Anolis sagrei: one gene and its partner. The protein of the gene in region 2 purifies or fractionates together with the protein of the main gene of each other region. This does not show direct contact. Links are inferred from orthologs where the notes say so. Each region holds a gene or a part of one and is shown on either strand. Other genes may lie near its edges.

Region 1 (9,385 bases), on a different chromosome or scaffold from region 2:
CATGCTGAGCCAAAGCAAAAGTGAAAATTACTTCAGAAGCGTCTGGAGCTCCTACTAAAGTGGATTCATTCTACAGCATAGATGCACCCCAAAGTTTTTCCCCCCAGGGTTTTGAAAATTGAGGTGCACATTAGATTCAATGGCACGTTAAATACGGGTACACTGATCTCCAGCTCAGGCTTCTGAAGCAACTTGTCCCAACAAGTGCCCTTATCATATTACTTAGATAATCTCATCCAGTAACATGCATGAGCTGAGCTTTGGTATCAAGAAAGCAACCAAAAATGTTTATCTATTTAAGACAATGCCATTTTACTTATGGATTATGAACAATGGCCATATGGTCACAGACCTCTATATCCATACAGTGCTACTGAGTGGAGATATGAGACACTGTCAATGGTCCTTTGGGGGAAACAAATCTTGCTTGTGTTCGGTCAGATTTGTCATAAGACATTACCTACTTGTGGTCTAGTCACTTCCCAACCCAGGTTTTTTTCCTTTATCAGGAACCAAAATAGCTTTGCTACAGGAGAAAAGACACCTAGGAGTGTCCTTAACCCTTGCCATACACCTGGATCATCTCATGATTCCGCAGTAGGGCTGTGCAAATTTTTTTTTTTGTGGGCCGTGTAATTGGTTAAATCTGTATTTACAATTATAGAGGAGAGAAAAGCCGGGAGTGTGCAGGCAGAGCAGCTAACCCTCGGGTGGTCCTCTCCCCTCTCCTCCCCTCCCCACAGGAGGCCAAGAGATGTCAGGGGACAAAGCATGGCGGCAACCCAGCATGCTGCCTGCTCTCCTCAATATATACAATACAATACTATATGGAAATAATAACATTGTAATGTAATAATGCTGATGTATTGTATGTAATGTTAACAATGTTGCAATATGATATATTGTATAAGGTAAAGGTAAAAGTTTTCCCCTTGACATTAAATCTAGTCGTGTCCGACTCTGAGGAGTGGTGCTCATCTCCATTCCTAAGCTGAAGAGCCAGCATTGTCCATAGATGCCTCCTGGGTCATGTGGCCAGCATGACTGCATGGAGTGCCGTTACCTTCCCGCCGAAGTGGTACCTATTGATCTACTCACATTTGCATGTTTTCGAACTGCTAGGTTGGCAGAAGCTGGGGACAAGAGGAGGAGCTCACCCTGCTCTCTGGATTCAAACCGCCAACCTTTCAGTCAGCAAGTTCAGCAGCTTGGTGGTTTAACAAGCTGCGCCACCAGGGGGCCCTTTGTATATTGTATAAACTACACCTGATGATATAATGTACTGGTAGTGTATTATTTATATACTGTGGTATAATAATATTGTACAAAATAATATATAATATTATAATTGCATATTGTATGTTACATATAATATTACTAATAATTCCGCAGTATAATCTGTTATTATTTTTGATGTAGATGTGGTTTTGTTTTTGGGATTTGGAGGGTTGGCTATTTTTGTTTTTGGCATTTAATGTTTGCTGATATCTGCTGTAAACCGCCCTGAGTCCCCAAGGGGAGATAGGGTGGGGCATAAAGGAAGATTGTTATTATTATATTATATTATAAAAAGCAATTTTATATTATAAAAAAAGTTTTGTAACTTTTAGAAATGTATTTTTGGGTGCTGAATTAAAACTAAAATACACACACACTCAACGCCATGCCACGAAGATATTTCAACCAATTTGGTTCTTGATCAGTTCTGATTGTAGGGGCAAAGAAACCAAAATATTTCTCAACAAGCAGAAGCCCCCTTTCCAATGGGGAGGGCGAGGAAGGACACCACAAAAGTTGAATCTTCGAACTGCAAAAAACCCTTATTTATTGCGTGGACATAGTAATAACGACAAAACATGCGTACAGGAATGCAATCAAAGGGTGTGTTGCATCCCCAAATAGGGCTGCAGAGCTTTTACCATTTCTGGCAGTAAAATGAATGCACATTCTTGTCTTATTTCCAAAGAAAAATCATTTCATTGGTCTAAGCTAGCTATACAGTTGCTCATTGGTTGTTAATGATTTTGATTGACTTAATAGCACAGCGGGACCCCAACAATGACACAACTATAGCAGAACTATAGTCCATTGTTCTCTGACCATGACTGTCTTAATAAATCAATCTTATCTGTTAGTCTGCTGCAAACATAATTCTGGAGCGACTGAGAAATTTGGGGGTTCTAACTATCCACTAGTAAGCCGGTTTTGTCCAGATGCACTGTTATCAACTTCTTAATTATTTTATCTCACATCCTGTGTTCAACTTTTTAATTATTTTATCTCACACCCTGTGTTTACCTTACTGTATTATTTTGCAATTGTTTGTATTTTATTTGATGTTATTATCTCTGTATGTATTTTAAAAGGTAAAGGTTTCCCCCTGATATTAAGTCCAGTCATGTCCGACTCTGGGGGTTGGTGCTTATCTCCATTTCTAAGAGCCAGCGTTGTCTGTAGACACCTCCAAGGTCATGTGGCCAGCATGACAGCATGCAGCACTGTATGTATTTTACTTTGTGTTATTGTACTCTTTGGGCTTGGCTTCATGTTAGCCGCCCCAAGTCCCCTTGGGGAGAAGGTGGTGGCGTATAAATAAAGTTTGCATTTTACTTGATGTTAATATCTCTGTATGTATTTTAAAAGGTAAAGGTAAAGATTTTCCCCTGACATTAAGTCCAGTCATGTCCGACTCTGGGGGTTGGTGCTCATCTCCATTTCTATGAGCCGGCGTTGTCAGTAGACACCTCCAAGGCCATGTGGCCAGCATGACTGCATGCAACACTGTATGTATTTTACTTTGCGTTATTGTACTCTTTGGGCTTTGCCTCACGTTAGCCACCCTGAGTCCCCTTGGGGAGAAGGTGGTGGAGTATAAATAAAGTTTATTATTATTATTATCATCATAATCATCCTTGAAAAGTAACTCTGCAGCATTTTCTGTAAACATAGCCCCACTGCAGAAACAGGCCAATCTGGCAGTAAATCGGGACAAATGGGCATTGGGAACATCTCTGAAAATTCCCTTTTAAAACTACGTCTCCTCCATGATTAAGGAGGCATGTGCAGTGCAGAATGGATGCAGTTTGGCGTGATTTAAACTGCCCTGGCTCAAAGCTATGGGCTCCTGGGAGTTGTAGTTTGGTGAGGCACCAGGGCTACGAGGCAGAGAAGGCTCTCGGCTCTCAGGAGTCCACCGGCAGTTCAAGCGGGGCCAAGCTGCCTCCATCCCGCAGTGTCGAGGCGCCCCCGAAAGAGAGAGCGCCCCGGGAAGGCGGAGAGGCGGGCGAGGGAGGCGCTGACCTTGCGGAAGTTCCCCAGGAAAAGCTCCTTGGCGAAGGCAGGCCGCGGGCAGCAAGTGCCGAAGGGCCTGCTCCTGCCGGGGAAGGCGGCCCGCGCCGAGCGGAGGAGGAGAAGCAAGCCCCGGCCACTCATGGCTCGCTCGCCCTCAAGGAGGAAGGGCCGCAAGAGGCGCCCAGTGATGACGTTGTGCCTGCTCTACTCCTCAGGCGGCAGGATAACCCCGCCCCTCAAGCGTCTTTCATACCTTCGGTATCACTCTGCTCTGCCAGGGCCGGGCCTACCACTTTAACTGCACCCCGTTGCATTCTGGGGCTTGTAGTGCAGTGAGGCTCAAGAGCTGTCTAAATGAGTGTCCTGAGTGGAGCACCTTGGACTGCAAATTCCAGCATTCCGTTGGAGGTTGCCATGGAAATTTAGACGCTGCGATCTAATAGTGTGACGTCACGCCGTCCATAGAGTCATAATTGTGTAGCAAGCACATGCTACCTTCATATTCCAGGTTGATTTTTAACTCAACCTTTATTTTTAATGAGTTACATAGAAAGAATAAAATTTTAGGATTCAGGATTTTAGTCTAGCTCAAGTGGGTTTCGTTTGTGTGTGTCAGGAGCGACTTGAGAAACTGCAAGTCGCTCCTGGTGTGAGAGGATTGGCTGTCTGCAAGGATGTTGCCCAGAGGACGCCTGGGTGTTTTGATGTTTTTATCATCCTTGTGGGAGGCTTCTCTCATATCCCCGCATGGGAAGCTGGAGCTGACAGAGGGAGCTCAACCTGCTCTCCCCAGATTTGAATCAGCACAAGTGGGCACAAGTGGGTCAAACTGCATTAATTCTACAGTGTAGACCAGACATGCGTCAACTTCAGCCCTCCAAGTGTTTTGGACTCCAAGTCGCACAATTTCTAACAACTGTTTTTAGGAATTTTGAGAGTTAGAGCTCAAAACACCTGGAGGGCCAAAGTTGGCTCACACCTAGTGTAATGTATATGTAGGTGCTCCAGTGTAGTGCTTTTATAATCTGGTGTGATTACGATACTGAGAAAATGGGCAAGTTTGCTTCTGCCCACCAACTCATACACAATAAACCTGCACCCAACTCTTTAGCCACTTGAACCTAAACACCCAATAAGCCTGTTTGGTCATAAAGGGTGCAAGGGATCAATGGAGGCCTGCTGTCATTGGATGGTCCTTGCTGGAAGGCCTGTCAATAAGGAGATGCCCAATGGAATATGGCACAGAGAGAGAAACAGAGAGTGCGATCCCCTTTAGACTGGTGGTGTGTAATGTCATATCAGAACTAAGAATGATCTATCACAACTACTTTGAGGAAAGAACAGTATTGCTGTAGTGAGATGTCTGGATGGGACATCATAGTTGAAGGATATGGACCACGTAGTACATGTCCGGTGAAGGGCAAGAAAAGGCAAGGGATAAGCAAAGCTGTATGAGGAAAGACTTAGAGAGTACGGAGAGCTTCGAGAAGAGAATGTCTTTAAATATTTGAAGAAATGTCAAGCAGGTTAAGCGAGCTTCTGTTTTATTGCTCCAGAGAAGGCATGGGCAGACTTCGGCCCTCTGGGACTGCAGCTCCATAAATCTTAACAGACCTCACAACCTCGGAGGATGCTTGCTATAGATGCAGGCGAAACATCAGGAGAGAATGCCTCTAGAACATGGCCATATAGCTCGAAAAAAACCTACAACAACCCAGCCTATTGGCTGTTAGGAATTGTGGGAGTTGAAGTCCAAAACACCTGGAGGGCCAAAGTTTGCCCATGCCTGCTCTAGAGAATAGAACCACCAATGGATTCAAATTAGAAGAAAAGAAATTCCATCTATACATCTATTTAACATAATAACTGTTTAGGAGTAGTATAAAGGTAAGGGTAAAGGTATCCCTTGACATTAAGTCACTACTTGGCGTGGTGGAGGTGGAGGTGGTCATCTCCATTTCTAAGCCGAAGAGCCGGCATTGTCCGTAGACACCTCCTGGTCATGTGGATGGCATGACAACATGGAGCGCCATTACCTTCCCACTGAAGTGGTACCTATTGATCTATTCACATTTGCATGTTTTCAAACTGCAAGGTTGGTGGAAGCTGGGGCTCACTCTGTCTGTGGATTTGAACTGCTGTCCTTCCAATCAGCCAGTTCTGCAGCTTAGTTTCACCCCGCTGCCCCACTGGATAGACTGCCTCAAATTGTGATATAGACTGCCTCAAATGCTAGTGGGCTGACTTTGGTTCTTCTCTTCGAAAAAAGTGCACTTTAAATTTTTGAATCACAATCCATTCATGGCCCAACAAATATTTCCTTTCATGTACATTTTCCTCACATCTCATAACCCCTTTTACTTTCAAGAATACATAGCCATCAACCTGAAATCCATCACCTACAATCCAATCTGCGTCTGTCAGCCATCTCTTACATCTTTGTTGTGCACAGCATCAAACCTCATCACACTTGCTTTTTATGATAATGGCTGCAGATAAGGGATGGACAAGCATCACTCTTACTCATTTTTGCACTTTAGGACTTTATTCAAATGGTGCCTATCAAATCTTTAAATGCCTCACACACTTCTCTCCCCCACCTTTTCACGTGAAGAGATTTTTTTCTTCTGCTTTATGAAGCCGCTTCCCTATTTTTACTTTAAATAGACTCAAAGCTTTAAAAATATATGACCATGGAATTACCATGCTGCAGATAAAAAAGCAGAATGAAGAATGTGAAGATAAATTAAGAATAAGCCAAAGGTAGGTTACACTAATTATATTTTGCTGCAAGAATCTGATGTGCTGATAATTATGCAGCTTGAGTTCAGAATCTTGTAATAAATTTTATATGTGGACAGCAAGTCTATAATAAATTGTCATCAGAATCCAAATATAATTGAAAGCTTATTTTCTCTTTCCTGAAGGAAGAAACTTCTCAGGAAAGGATTTAAAAAATATATAGCCTTTTCTGCCTTTTGTCGAGTTGCCTTTCTTCATCTGGTCCAGTGCTCAGCCACCATTCTGGGACTTGTGGTCTGAAAAGTAACATTTCCAATCTAGGCTCTACATGATACTGGATTGTTAAAAAAGCTTTGGAGATTTCTCAAAACAACACAAAATCAAATTGAATGATGGCTGAGGGAATATGGGTAGGCTTCCAACTATGGTTAATTGCATGAATAATTTTCTCTGTAGCAGTATTTTCTTGAGCTGGAAAAATACTGCACATCCTCAAAACAAAAACAATAGCTGCTCCTCAAAAAAAGAGTTATTATATGATGCCTGGCTTGACAGCAGTCCATGTGAAAAAGATTTTGGAGTCTACATGGACAAGAAGTTGAACATGAGCCAACAGTGTGATGCAGCATCTAAAAAGCCAATGGGATTTTGGGCTCCATCAAAAAGAGTATAGTGACTAGATCGAGGGAAGTTATGGTGCCCCTCTATCCTGCTTTGGTCAAACCTCAGCTGGAATACTCTGTCCAATTCTGGGCTCCACAATTCAAAGGAGGTATTGACAAGCTGGAAGGTGTCCAGAGGGGGCTCTATGAGGAGTGTCTTAAAGAACTGAAGGTTCTTTAATATAATGTCTCCTCTCAACCCTCTCTTAAAGAACTGAAGGTTGAGAGGAGACATTATAACTATATATAAATATGTGAAAGGATGTCATAAGGATGAGGGAGCAGGCTTGTTTTCTGCTTCCCTGGAAACTAGGAAGACCTTCCGGATTGTTCAGCAGTGGAATTCTCTGCCTTGGAATGTGGTGGAAGCTCCTTCCTTGGAGGCTTTTAAGCAGAGGCTGGATGGCCATCTGTCAGGGATATTTTCATTGTGCTTTTTCTGCATGGCAGGGGGTTGGACTAAATGGCCCATGTGGTCTCTTCCAACTCTATTAAAATTTTATGATCCCCACAATGTGTCATTCTATCTCCAATGCTTTTTAACATTTTCGTGAAACTGCTGGGAGAGATGATCCGGATATATGGGGTAGGATGCTTTCAGTATGCTGATGAGTCCCAAATATATTTCTCCAGGCCTTAAAAAACAGCCTAGGCTTAGGATAGCATGTCTCATCTGAATGAAGAAAAACAAACTGAAACTGAATCCAGATAAAAATGGAAGTGATTATGATCAGGGCTTCTAACCTGGGTTTGGAGGTGTGTCAACCAATTCTGGATGGGGTTACATTCCCGCTGAAAGACTATTCACAGTTGGGAGTTTTGCCAGATCTGTCTCGCCAAATATCAGTCCAGATGAATATGACACTCAGAAGTGCTGACTACTAGCTTCAGCTGATACGCCAGCTGTGTCCTTTCCTAGAACTGGAGGACCTAAAGATGGTAGTGCATGTGCTGGTAGCCGCAAGGCTCAAATCTTCTGCATTTGTACTGCACATTGGGCTCCCTCTGTACCAAGTTTGGAAACTCCAGCTAGCTCAAAACATAGCAACCAGATTGGTCATGGGAACATCTAGGAATGATAGCACACCATTATTAAAATATTTATTTATTTAAAACATTTATATTCTGCCCTTCTCGCCCCAAAGGGGACTCAGGAGGAGCACAGCATATATATGGCAAACATTCAATTCTGGGACACGAATTCATATACGCATACATAAACATTAAAACATTTATCAAAATATTAAAATACACCATTTAAAACTGTCCTAGTCATCCACGTCAAATCTAACTGGCCTGTTAATTTAGGAAACTATTGCTGCTTTATTGCCCTGTCCCAAAAGCTTGGTCCCACAGCCAAGTTTTTACCATCCTTCTAAAGGACAGGAGAGAGAGGGCCAACCTGATCTCACCAGGAAGGGAGTTCCATAGCCTGGGAGCAATCACCAAGAAGGCCCTATCTTTTGTCCGCACCAATTATGCCTGTGACAAGAGTGGGACGGAAAGCAGGGCCTCCCCGGAGGATCTTAATCTCCGCGATGGTTCACAGGGAGAGATGTGTTTGGACAAGTAATTTGGGCCAGGGCCGTTTAGGGCTTTATAGGCCAAAGCCAGCACTTTGAATTGTGCCTGGTAGCAAACTGGCAGCCAGTGGAGCTGGCGTAACATGGGAGTTGCATGCTTCCTGTATGCCGCCCCAGTTATTAACCTGGCTGCCTCTCGTTGGACTATTTGAAGCGTCCGAGCAGTCTTCAAAGGCAACCCCACGTAGAGTGCATTGCAGTAGTCTATCCTAGATGTAACGAGAGCATGGACCACCGTGGCCAAGTTTGACTTCTCAAGGTACGGGTGCAGCTGGCGCACAAGTTTTAATCATTCCATTATCTGTCAATTATCTGTTTGTTATTACAGTAGAGTCTTGCATATCCGACCTTTGCTTATCCGACATTCCATCTTATCAGATGCTTTTATCTGATGCCCCCTTTTTATCCAGCATTTCCTCTTCAATTCAAGGAATTCCTCTTCAATTCAATTTCCTCTTCAATTCACTCTCTCTCCATTCCCAATAAGTGAAAAAAAGGCAAGATGAGGAAGAGGAGGAGGGAAGAAAGGGGGGAAAGAGCTAGGACCGGAAGCGGAAGCATCCTTCCTCCTTCTATGATTTCCACACTCCTCTTCTGCATACGGGCACTTCCTGCTGGGCTGTTCTAGCCTCGAGGCATTGCCTTGCCTTAACCCTTTGAGTCCTTGTTGTTAATATTCTAGGTGTCTAGCGCTGCGTCAGACGGGTAACAGTGGGAGACTCCATATTATCTGACATTTTCGTTTATCCTGCATTCTGCCAGCCCATTTATGTCGGATAAGTGAGACTCTACTGTACCTTTAAAGCCCTACATGGCATGGGTCCAGGTTACCTAGAACATTGCCTTCTCCCATAAAATCTGCCTCTGGGGGACAGCCACTTCAGTCAGTCAAAACGACTTTTACCTAGATGACATTTCTTTGGCTGCTCCAAGACTGTGCAATGATTTGCACAAAGAGATTTGTCAGCTTGAAACATTGTCTGAATTTAAATCAGCAGTAAATACTAGTTTCTTCTGATAGGCCTATCCAGATTATTTTGAAATTAAGTTTTTAAAAGTATTTGTTGATGTTTTAACATGCATTGTTTTTGTATTTTTTAACTGATG
Region 2 (9,111 bases):
TCCTGTTGACAAAGAGTACAACTGTTTTTAATGTTTTTATTACCACAGCTAGGGCTATTATAAGCAGCATAGCATCATAATTCAAATTATGGGAAAAGCTTCCAAGACATAAAACCGCATGCATGCATGCAGTGGGGTCTTATGAATTTAACTGTTCCAGGAGAACAGCCAAAAATCAACACATATACTCTTGTCACTATGCCTGGAGACTGCTTCATTTGCAGAATTTCAACCTGTTCTGCAGCAATTGTTGACAAATGATCTCTATGAGAAAAAAATGTAGCAAACCTATCAATTCATTAATCAGTTTTACTTTCATAGAGACTGTTTGAAAATACTGTCCTTGCAGAAGACATTCAAAGTGACCAAATGGCCAGTGTGTCCAATGTGGAATACATCTCACTACACTAAAACAGTAGATGCGGCTCTTAATGAAACATGCCGCATTATCACAGGATATCTACACCCTACACCATTGGAGAAATTATACTGTGTAGCCAGTATTGCACCACCTGACATTCGCCAGGAAGTAGCAGTTAATAATGAAAGGACCAAGGCAGCGACATTTCTGGCCCATCCCCTGTTCAGATATCAGCCAGCATGCCAACACCTTTAATCAAGAAATAGTTTTCTAAGATCTACAGAGATACTCACAGGAACACCTCAGAAAGCAAGAGTCCAAAAGTGGCAGGCTAAAACCCATGCCATGGCTAATTCCGAATGAGAGACTCTCCCCTGGGTACACAGAAGACCTGGTGACTTGGAAGGTGCTAAACAGATTGCACTCTAGGACCATGAAATGCAGAGCCAACCTTAAAAAATGGGGCTACAAAGTGGAGTTCACAACATGTGAGTACAGAGAAGATCAAACCACAAACTACCTATTACAATACAGTCTGAGCCCTGCCACATGCACAATGGAGGACCTTCTTATAGCAACACCGGGGGCACTCCAAGTGGCCAGCTACTGGTCAAAGGACATTGAGTATAATGCCAAGTTTTTAAACTGTGTTTTTAAAAATACATTACAACTATACATTGGGTTCACTTCTGATACCATAAATAAAACAACCAAATGGTGCCTCAGGAGAAAATATTTACAGAATCTATGTTTTCCCTATGTTAGTCAGCCCTATGTCTTCGAAATATCTCTACTCAACATGCGATTGGACAAGCACTGAGACATTCATGTCTTCTGGCTATTCTAGAACCTCAAAAGAAACCATGCTAACATATATAAACATGTATAGATGAAATTTTGTTCTGATTCAGTAATCCAAGATCCATTCATCCATACATCTGTTTTGTCCTTCTCTGTATCCGAAGGGTTGGTGACAACTGGAAGTGACATTTCTGCCAATTGGAAATTAATTCCTGTCATTTTGGAATTGGGCTGAGGATGAAAATAGGACAAGACTAACTCTGTAGAAATCAACTCTTTCTCAACAAGCGGAATCTTGATGTATCCAAAGAGACCAAGGCCACAAAGAGATGGATCCCCTATCAGCCGAATATAAAACAATCTGCTTACGCAGTGTCCCTTGATTTCCACATAGGGCCCTTCTCCACTAATGAATGCACATGGCCTGCAGGTTATTACGATTCCTATTCTAATGTGGAGAGGAAAGTGGAGAAGAAAGAGGTTGAGAGAGAGGGTGGGAATGAAATCATGAAATGAAACTAGATGTGTTGTTTTCAGCTCTCATCTACCTTTTAACAGGTCCTGGAAATGAAAACTTGCCCCTTAGACTGGATGGCGTTGCCCACCCTGATCTTTAAAAAAACCCACAGTGCTCAAGGGTAGAAATACGTCCCCACATTACAGCACACAAATCACTCCACAACAGCTGAAGAGATATTTTAGGATGTTTGCTATACTAGATAATTGCATGCCAATGGGTTCTGCTATAGCGGAAGACAAGCTGAATTAGGTAACATTTATACAAATATTTTTTAAAGGTATAATATTTAATAACTGCAAACTCCACCTTCAGTTAAATGTGTAATGGCCCATTTCCTTCCCTACTTTATGCCACATTAATGTTATTAAATTTAGCACAGCTGGCTGATGACATTTTACTGTGTGAGATGAAGGACAAGATTGTGCCTATCCAAACTGGAAAAGCCCACTGAAAAATTGTCAAAAACATGTTTTTGAGTGATGAAAAACCTTAATGAGAAGAATCCTGGACTAATGAGAATCTTTACAATTGGGGACTCATTCTACATAAAATTCACACATAGTTGATTTGTACATACTGTAAAACATTTTCTGTGCAGAAAATATTATTCATTATATATTTATGGGCAAAACAGCCACACACAAGTTTTTTCACAGAAGTTTTGAATCTTGAGTAAATGTCAAAAACTGCATGGTTTTCAAAGACCTTCTCATAGGAGGAAAAATTACCAAGATTACCCGTTGTTTTTGTCAAGAAGAACATGAATGAAGAATTTTCTACTGAGATGGAATGACCTCCTCCACCAAACCTGGCACATTTAGGAGGTCACAAGGCAAGCTGCTTAGTGCTCAGCTCTCTCTTTTGGTGCTGTCTTTGCTATCTTAAGTGATCATCTCTTTGCCTACTGGAAGGGGGAGCTCCGCAATTTAGGCTGGGAAGGTTTTCTTTTTCAGAACCTGAGGGTAGTTTGAAAAAGACATCTCTTCGTAATGTGTAGATCTGTCACATTTTCCCCTCTGCTAAAGCAAGTTGCAGGGTTATGTTTCAAAAGCCTATCCAAAGATAGCAATTTATTTTATTTTGTTTGTAATCCACTCTTCCCTGACAAGCAATTCAAGGTTGCTCACAACGTAAGTTAAAACAAAATGATGATGTTGATGATGATTAACAACAACAACAACAGCAACAACTTTATTTGTAACCTGCTCTATCTTCTCAAGGGGACTCAGGGCGGTTTCCAGAACACAAGTGGCAAACATTCAATACCATAATGAACAACAGGACAAATCAAAAGAAGAGATAAATAACATCAATATAAATTTAATGGAATATAAATTCCAATGAAAACAGTACAATAAATGAGAGATTTTTCTAGGGACACAGCAATACCACAAACACAATATAAGTAGGAGATAGTACTCTTCGATGCATTGAAGCTTCTGATTATCCAGAATCTTCTTGAATACATTAATTGCTTTTTGACTCCAAAAGCTGAAAACACAGATGAATCTGCCTATTGATTATGGTCACACATTAATTAGGCCAATATCAGGCAGTGCTTTTAACATCTAGATTGTAAAATAAATGCAAGCTAATCCAAATTCCATATATGAATTTGGAACAATTCCTTCTGTTTATGCAACGTTCTTTGTCACTGATGAAAGGTGACCATAGCATTTCAAATAAGGAACAGATTTATTTTACCACAGAAATTTTGAAGGGAAAGGAAGCCAAGCTAAGCATTTTAAAAACCTCATATTCACAGTCTTACATATACAATAGCTTATATACTGCATTTCTTTGCAAAAATATCTCAAACTTTGTGTGCCAAAATGCCAACTCTTAAGTCTTCAGTTCCAAAATACTATGTTTCATGCTTCACTCAATAGACCAATCATGCAATTCACCAGTTTTTGATGCCGCTGTGACTCTTACTATGCTAGGGACTATGCTTAACAAAAAAGGCAAATCAGGGTTAGTGAGTTCCTGGCTCTTCAGAGGCCATGGACTTCAATCCCAGCAGACTTACCTAGTATGATTCATGGCAGTGGATTATGGACATTGTTCCATGATATCTAGAGAGTCAAAGATCATCCAAGACTTCTGCAGAAGCGGAAATACCCCCAGGCTGTCCTATGTGCACTTCCTTAGAAAGCCCAAGTGAACTCAGAGGAACTTAACCTCGCAATATTCATGAGATTATAATAAAGGTCTGCTTAATCATCTTGCATGTCAACACGTATTAAGGAAATAGGAAATCAGAGGCATAATAATGTTCGTACTTTTCTCCTTTTGGCACGGTTTGTTTGCAATCACTTAGCCAACAAACCTCATCCAATCTTCTTATCCCTCCCTCCACAAAAATGGCAAGAATCACACAGTATATGTATTTGTTTCTTTCTTCTAAACAATTGCAGCAATTTACCAGAAATGCTCCAGCAAGATTATTTGGAGAATGCCCTTTTAAGCAGGCCGCAAAGCAGCATAAAAAGAAACATGTTTTTGTTTTACAAAAATGTTCCAGTTCAATATGGGTTTTTTCCTCCTGAATTCACTAAATTCCTCTTCCACAAAAACAAAAACACCACCAAATGGGAGATTCCTTTACGAATGAATAATGCTTAACCGCAAGCTAAACATGAGTCAGCAATGCAATGTGGCAGCTAAAATGGCAAACTCAATTCTGAGTTGCACAAACAGGAATATAATGTCCACAAGAATTAATGTCACAATTCAATTCTGTTTTGATCAAGCCTACGTTTGGGTACTGCGTCCAGTTCAGGTTAAGACAAAAATTGACTGAAGGATGACAAAGGGTCTGAAAAATGTGTTTCCTTAGGAGTTGGTTATGTGGAACAGAGATTAATGCCAGGTTATGTTATAGTTATGTTCTGACATTTCAAAGGTTGTCACTAAGATAATGGTGCAAACTTGTTCTTTGTTGATCTACAGCAGTGTGTCCCAACTCTGGTCTTCCAGATGTTTTGGACTTCAGTTCCTAGAATTCCTGACAGTTGGCCAAGCTGACTGGGTCTTCTGGGAATTGAAGTCCAAAACTGCCAGAGAACTAATGTTTGGAAAATACTGATCTACACAAAGGGTAGGCATATGCTGATTATCATTTTCACTCCTCTTATGCCAGGTGATAACCAGAAATGATGTTTCAGGTGGCCAGAGGTTTCTCTTATTTAGGGGTTTTTTTGTTTTGTTTTTGTTTTGTTTTTTGCATTACTTGACTGATTTAGGGTTCAGAATGCTAAACTGAAATTGCTGAGACCCAGCTTCAAATTAACAGTCAGGCATTAAGCTATCTGAGGGCTTTTCCAGACAGGCCCTAGCCCTACACTCCAGGATCTGATCCCAGGTGTTCTGCTTAAAACTGGATTATATGAGTCCCCACTGTCAGATAATCTGGGATAAGCAGAAAGCCTGGGATCAGATCCTAGGATATAATGACAGTGTAGGGCCTTTCACACATCTTAACAAAAACCTACATTATCCGCTTTGAACTGGAATATATGGCAGTGTGGACTCAGTTAACCCAATTAGAAGCAGATATTGTGGGATTTGGGGCCTTGATATTCTGGGTCAAGCCTTTGAACAATAGATGGAATAACAGGAAAGGAAATGTTTTAGTGACTGCAATGGATTGACCTGGACTATGATTTGAACCGGTGAACTGTTTTTAAATTGAATGTTTTATAATTGTTTTTTAAATTGTGTTTAATTGTGTCTGTGATTTCTAATGTACTGTGTTGGCACCTGATGGTTGCCTATTGTAAGCTGTCCCGAGTCCCTCTTCAGAGGTGAGAAGGACAGGATATAAATGCCCGAAATAAATAAATAAATAGTTGTGTGGAAGGGCCATAGAAGAGCCCTGGGAGACTTAGGCCAATCACTCTTGCTCAGCTTAATCTAACTTCTTTGTATGGTTCTCGGCTCTTTTATATAATCATGGCTGATTCACATTGAGCTCCAACCCATGTATTGTCTGTTCTCTTTTCCAATTGCAAATCCCCAAGGGCCCTTCCACACAGCCCTATATCCCAGAACATCAAGGCATGAAATCCCACATGATCTAAGTGTGGACTCAGATAAAACGGGACCCTTCCATACAGCCCTATATCCCAGAATATTAAAGTAGAAAATTCCACATTATCTGAGTGTGGACTCAGATATCCCAGTTCAATGCAGATATTGTGACATTTTCTGCCTTGATGTTCTGGGATATAGGGCTGTGTGGAAGGGCCCTCAGTCTGGGTGTACTTTTGATGTAGGGCTTTTCTACACAGCCATATAACCCATAATATCAAGACTGATAATCTACAATATCTGTTTTGAACTAGATTATCCGAATCCACACTGCTATATAATCCAGTTCAATGTGTGGAAGGGGCCTAAGTTTCCAACTAAATACAGGTTCAAGAAAGAGAAATCAAAATCTTATTGATAAAACACATTTACCACATAGTGAAGGGGTCCTCAAACTTTTTAAACAGAGGGCCAGGTCACAGTCCCTCAAACTGTTTGAGGGCCGGATTATAATTTGAAAAAAAATAATGAATGAATTCCTATGCACACTGCACATATTTTATTTGTAATGCAAAAAACACTTAAAAACAATACAATAATTAAAATGAAGAACAATTTTAACAAATAATAATGTATTAGTATTTCAATGGGAAGTGTGGGCCTGCTTTTGGCTGATGAGATAGTATTGTTATTATGTGCTTTCAAGTCATTTCAGACTTAGGTTGACCCTGAGCGAGGGCCGGTAAATGACCTTGGAGAGCCACATCCGGCCCTCGGGCCTTAGTTTGAGGACCCCTGACATAGTGTGACTTGGGATACATCTACATTGTAGAATTAATGGAGGTTAACACTATTTAACTACCATGGCTCAATGTTAGGGACTAATGGGAATTGTAGTTTTATAATGTCTATAACCTTCTCTGGTAAACAGTGAGCTGATACCTCACCAATCTAAAGATCCCTGGATTTCATAGCATTGAGCTATGGTGGTTAAAGTGGTATCAAACTGCATTAATGCTATATTGTAGATGCACCTAGATCTGATATACAACCCCTAGAAGCTGTTTAGTTATGATGATTTTTCTTTCACCCCTCTTCTTGGCATTGCTCCCAAACCAACCTGTAACTCGAGTTAATGCTTATTTTGCAAAGCTGACAATTTTTCAAAAGCTGCAAAATGATTTTTTTTCCCAAGGTGACTCTGCGGGCACAGTTCCACAGACTGTTTATACTCCTGAGTACTAACTGTCTACTGCTGACATGACCAAACTTTTAAAGCCCCATCAGATTTTTGGATTTGATAACTCCTTTGTTAATGCTGTGCACACAGGCCTCAGGGAAAGCAGATAGATTCCAATTCTCTCAAGCCTTGAGTAAGCCAAATCCCACAACATCATAAGAAGGAAAAAGAGGGAGGGGGGGGGGGGAGAATAAGAAAAAAATAATCTTTCAAAACATGGAATTGTAATCATAGCAGTAAAATTAGGGAATAAACAAGAAGTGTCAGTTTTGTTTTAATAGAATGACTTTTTGCTGTTTTATGTTCCAGAGTAAAATTGTCTGTTCCAAAGGAGCACCAAGAAAAGGTTGTGTGAATTTTAACAGACAAGGAAACAAGACAGAAGGCAAGACAAGGAGACAGCCTGCCAAAAAGAAGACTGGAATTTTAAAGCTACAGAAGAAATTAGTTTCACTTCTTTCTTCTAAAGCAGCGTTTCTCAACCTGGGGGTCAGGACCCCTAAGGGGGTTGTGAGGAGGCTGTCAGAGGGGTTGCCAAAGACCACCAGAAAACACATATTTCTGATGGTCTTAGAAACCCCTTTGGCAGAGAAGGCTGAAGGTCTCTCGCCTGTCCTTCTCTTCCTTTTTGGAAACAGACAGTGAATCCTCCCACCAAAAGCCCTCTTCCTGTGGTGATTAGCCAGCCACTCAGCTGGCTTCTCAGCTAAGGGGAGGGCTGTTTCTGAGACTCCAAGCAGGGAGGGGAGAGCAGGCATGGTCGGCGCATGGCAGCGTGGTGTGCATGTGCGGGCAAGGTAGAGCATGAAAGGCTGGAGTGAGGTTCATGCCATCAAGTCCCGTCATGGCAGGGAGGAAAAACCCCGTGCGACATGGGACTGAGAGTGGCCTAGTACTCATGCCAAGTCTGATCCAGACACATTGACCTTGAGTTTTGGAGTTATAGTTCACCTACATCCAGAGAGCACTATGGACTCATCTGAGTGCACAGTACACTCTAGATGTAGGTGAACTACTCCAAAACTCAAGGTCAGTGCCCACCAAACCCTTCCAGTATGTTCTGTTGGTCATGGGAGTTCTGTGTGTCAAGTTTGGTTCAGTTCAATCCAATTGTTGGTGGATTTCAAAATGTTCTTTGATTGTAGATTAATTATAAATCCCAGAAACTACAACTTCCAAATGACAAAATCACCAGTATTCAAATTTGGGCAAATCAAGTGTTTGTGCTAGATTTGGTCCAGGGAATGAAAATGCATCTTGCATATCTGATATTTACATTACGATTCATAACAGTAGAAAAATTACAGTTATGAAGTAGCAACAAAAATAATTTTATAGTTGGGGGTCACCACAACATGAGGAATTGTATTAAGGGGTCATGGCATGAGGAAGGTTGAGAACCACAGTTCTAAAAGCTATGCTTGATACTCCATAAAATAAAATAATCAGGTTTTTAATTCCAACATTTATTTGGTCCATTTTAGGTCTTTACCTAAAACTAAGGGCTTTATGATTATGAATTTAATACCATGGTTGTGAACTATCTTGGTAATGTTTCCTTAAAATGTGGCATACTTTAAAAAACTGAAATGCTATAGTGAATCATAACAATAATACTATACACAGTAAACAAACATCTGATAAAGTCAACAAACAAACAGCAATCGGATTATTTGCAGTAGCAACTAACCGCTTCTAAATAGGGAAACCCATGCATTTTAGCCTTGCACCAAAATCTCAATAAATTTGGTACATGGGATTTCTCGTGGGAGATGACATTACAAAGTAAAGATACAATCAGAGAGAAGGCCCTACACCACCACTTGCAAACTTTCCTTAAAGGTAGGATAATGATATGGGACTTTCTCTCATAGAGTCATAAAATCACAGCAAGGGAAGGAGTCTCATGGTCCACTGAACCTGCTGCCCAAAGCAGGATTTAAATTAGCTGAGCGTTATCTTTCCTTCACTCTCTTCCACTTTAAAATGACATTTTACCTACCTGTTTTAAACCAAGCAGGAAATGATTATTTACTTTTCCTATTTAGTTTAAAACAAGTGTTTGGTTCGCAATATTTTAACATCTTTCTTAAATTTTCCCATGTTATCTGTGTGGCCACCATTTCACTATTCCCAAAGAAAACACGAGATTAACTA

The links.
Region 1: the proteins of EYA2 (region 2) and ACAD9 purify together in Homo sapiens (affinity purification with mass spectrometry; 3 studies listed by BioGRID and IntAct, with this or other methods). This does not show direct contact. The link is inferred for Anolis sagrei from reciprocal best matches to the Homo sapiens genes EYA2 and ACAD9.

What each region holds. Positions count from the first base shown.
Region 1 is NC_090022.1:63,844,872-63,854,256, reverse strand, and holds the start of ACAD9 (complex I assembly factor ACAD9, mitochondrial), read right to left. Parts: upstream 3,485-9,385; 5' UTR 3,433-3,484; coding exon 3,301-3,432; intron 1-3,300. UniProt on the Homo sapiens protein: As part of the MCIA complex, primarily participates in the assembly of the mitochondrial complex I and therefore plays a role in oxidative phosphorylation.
Region 2 is NC_090024.1:219,244,677-219,253,787, reverse strand, and holds the start of EYA2 (eyes absent homolog 2), read right to left. Parts: upstream 3,774-9,111; 5' UTR 3,726-3,773; coding exon 3,712-3,725; intron 1-3,711. UniProt on the Homo sapiens protein: Functions both as protein phosphatase and as transcriptional coactivator for SIX1, and probably also for SIX2, SIX4 and SIX5.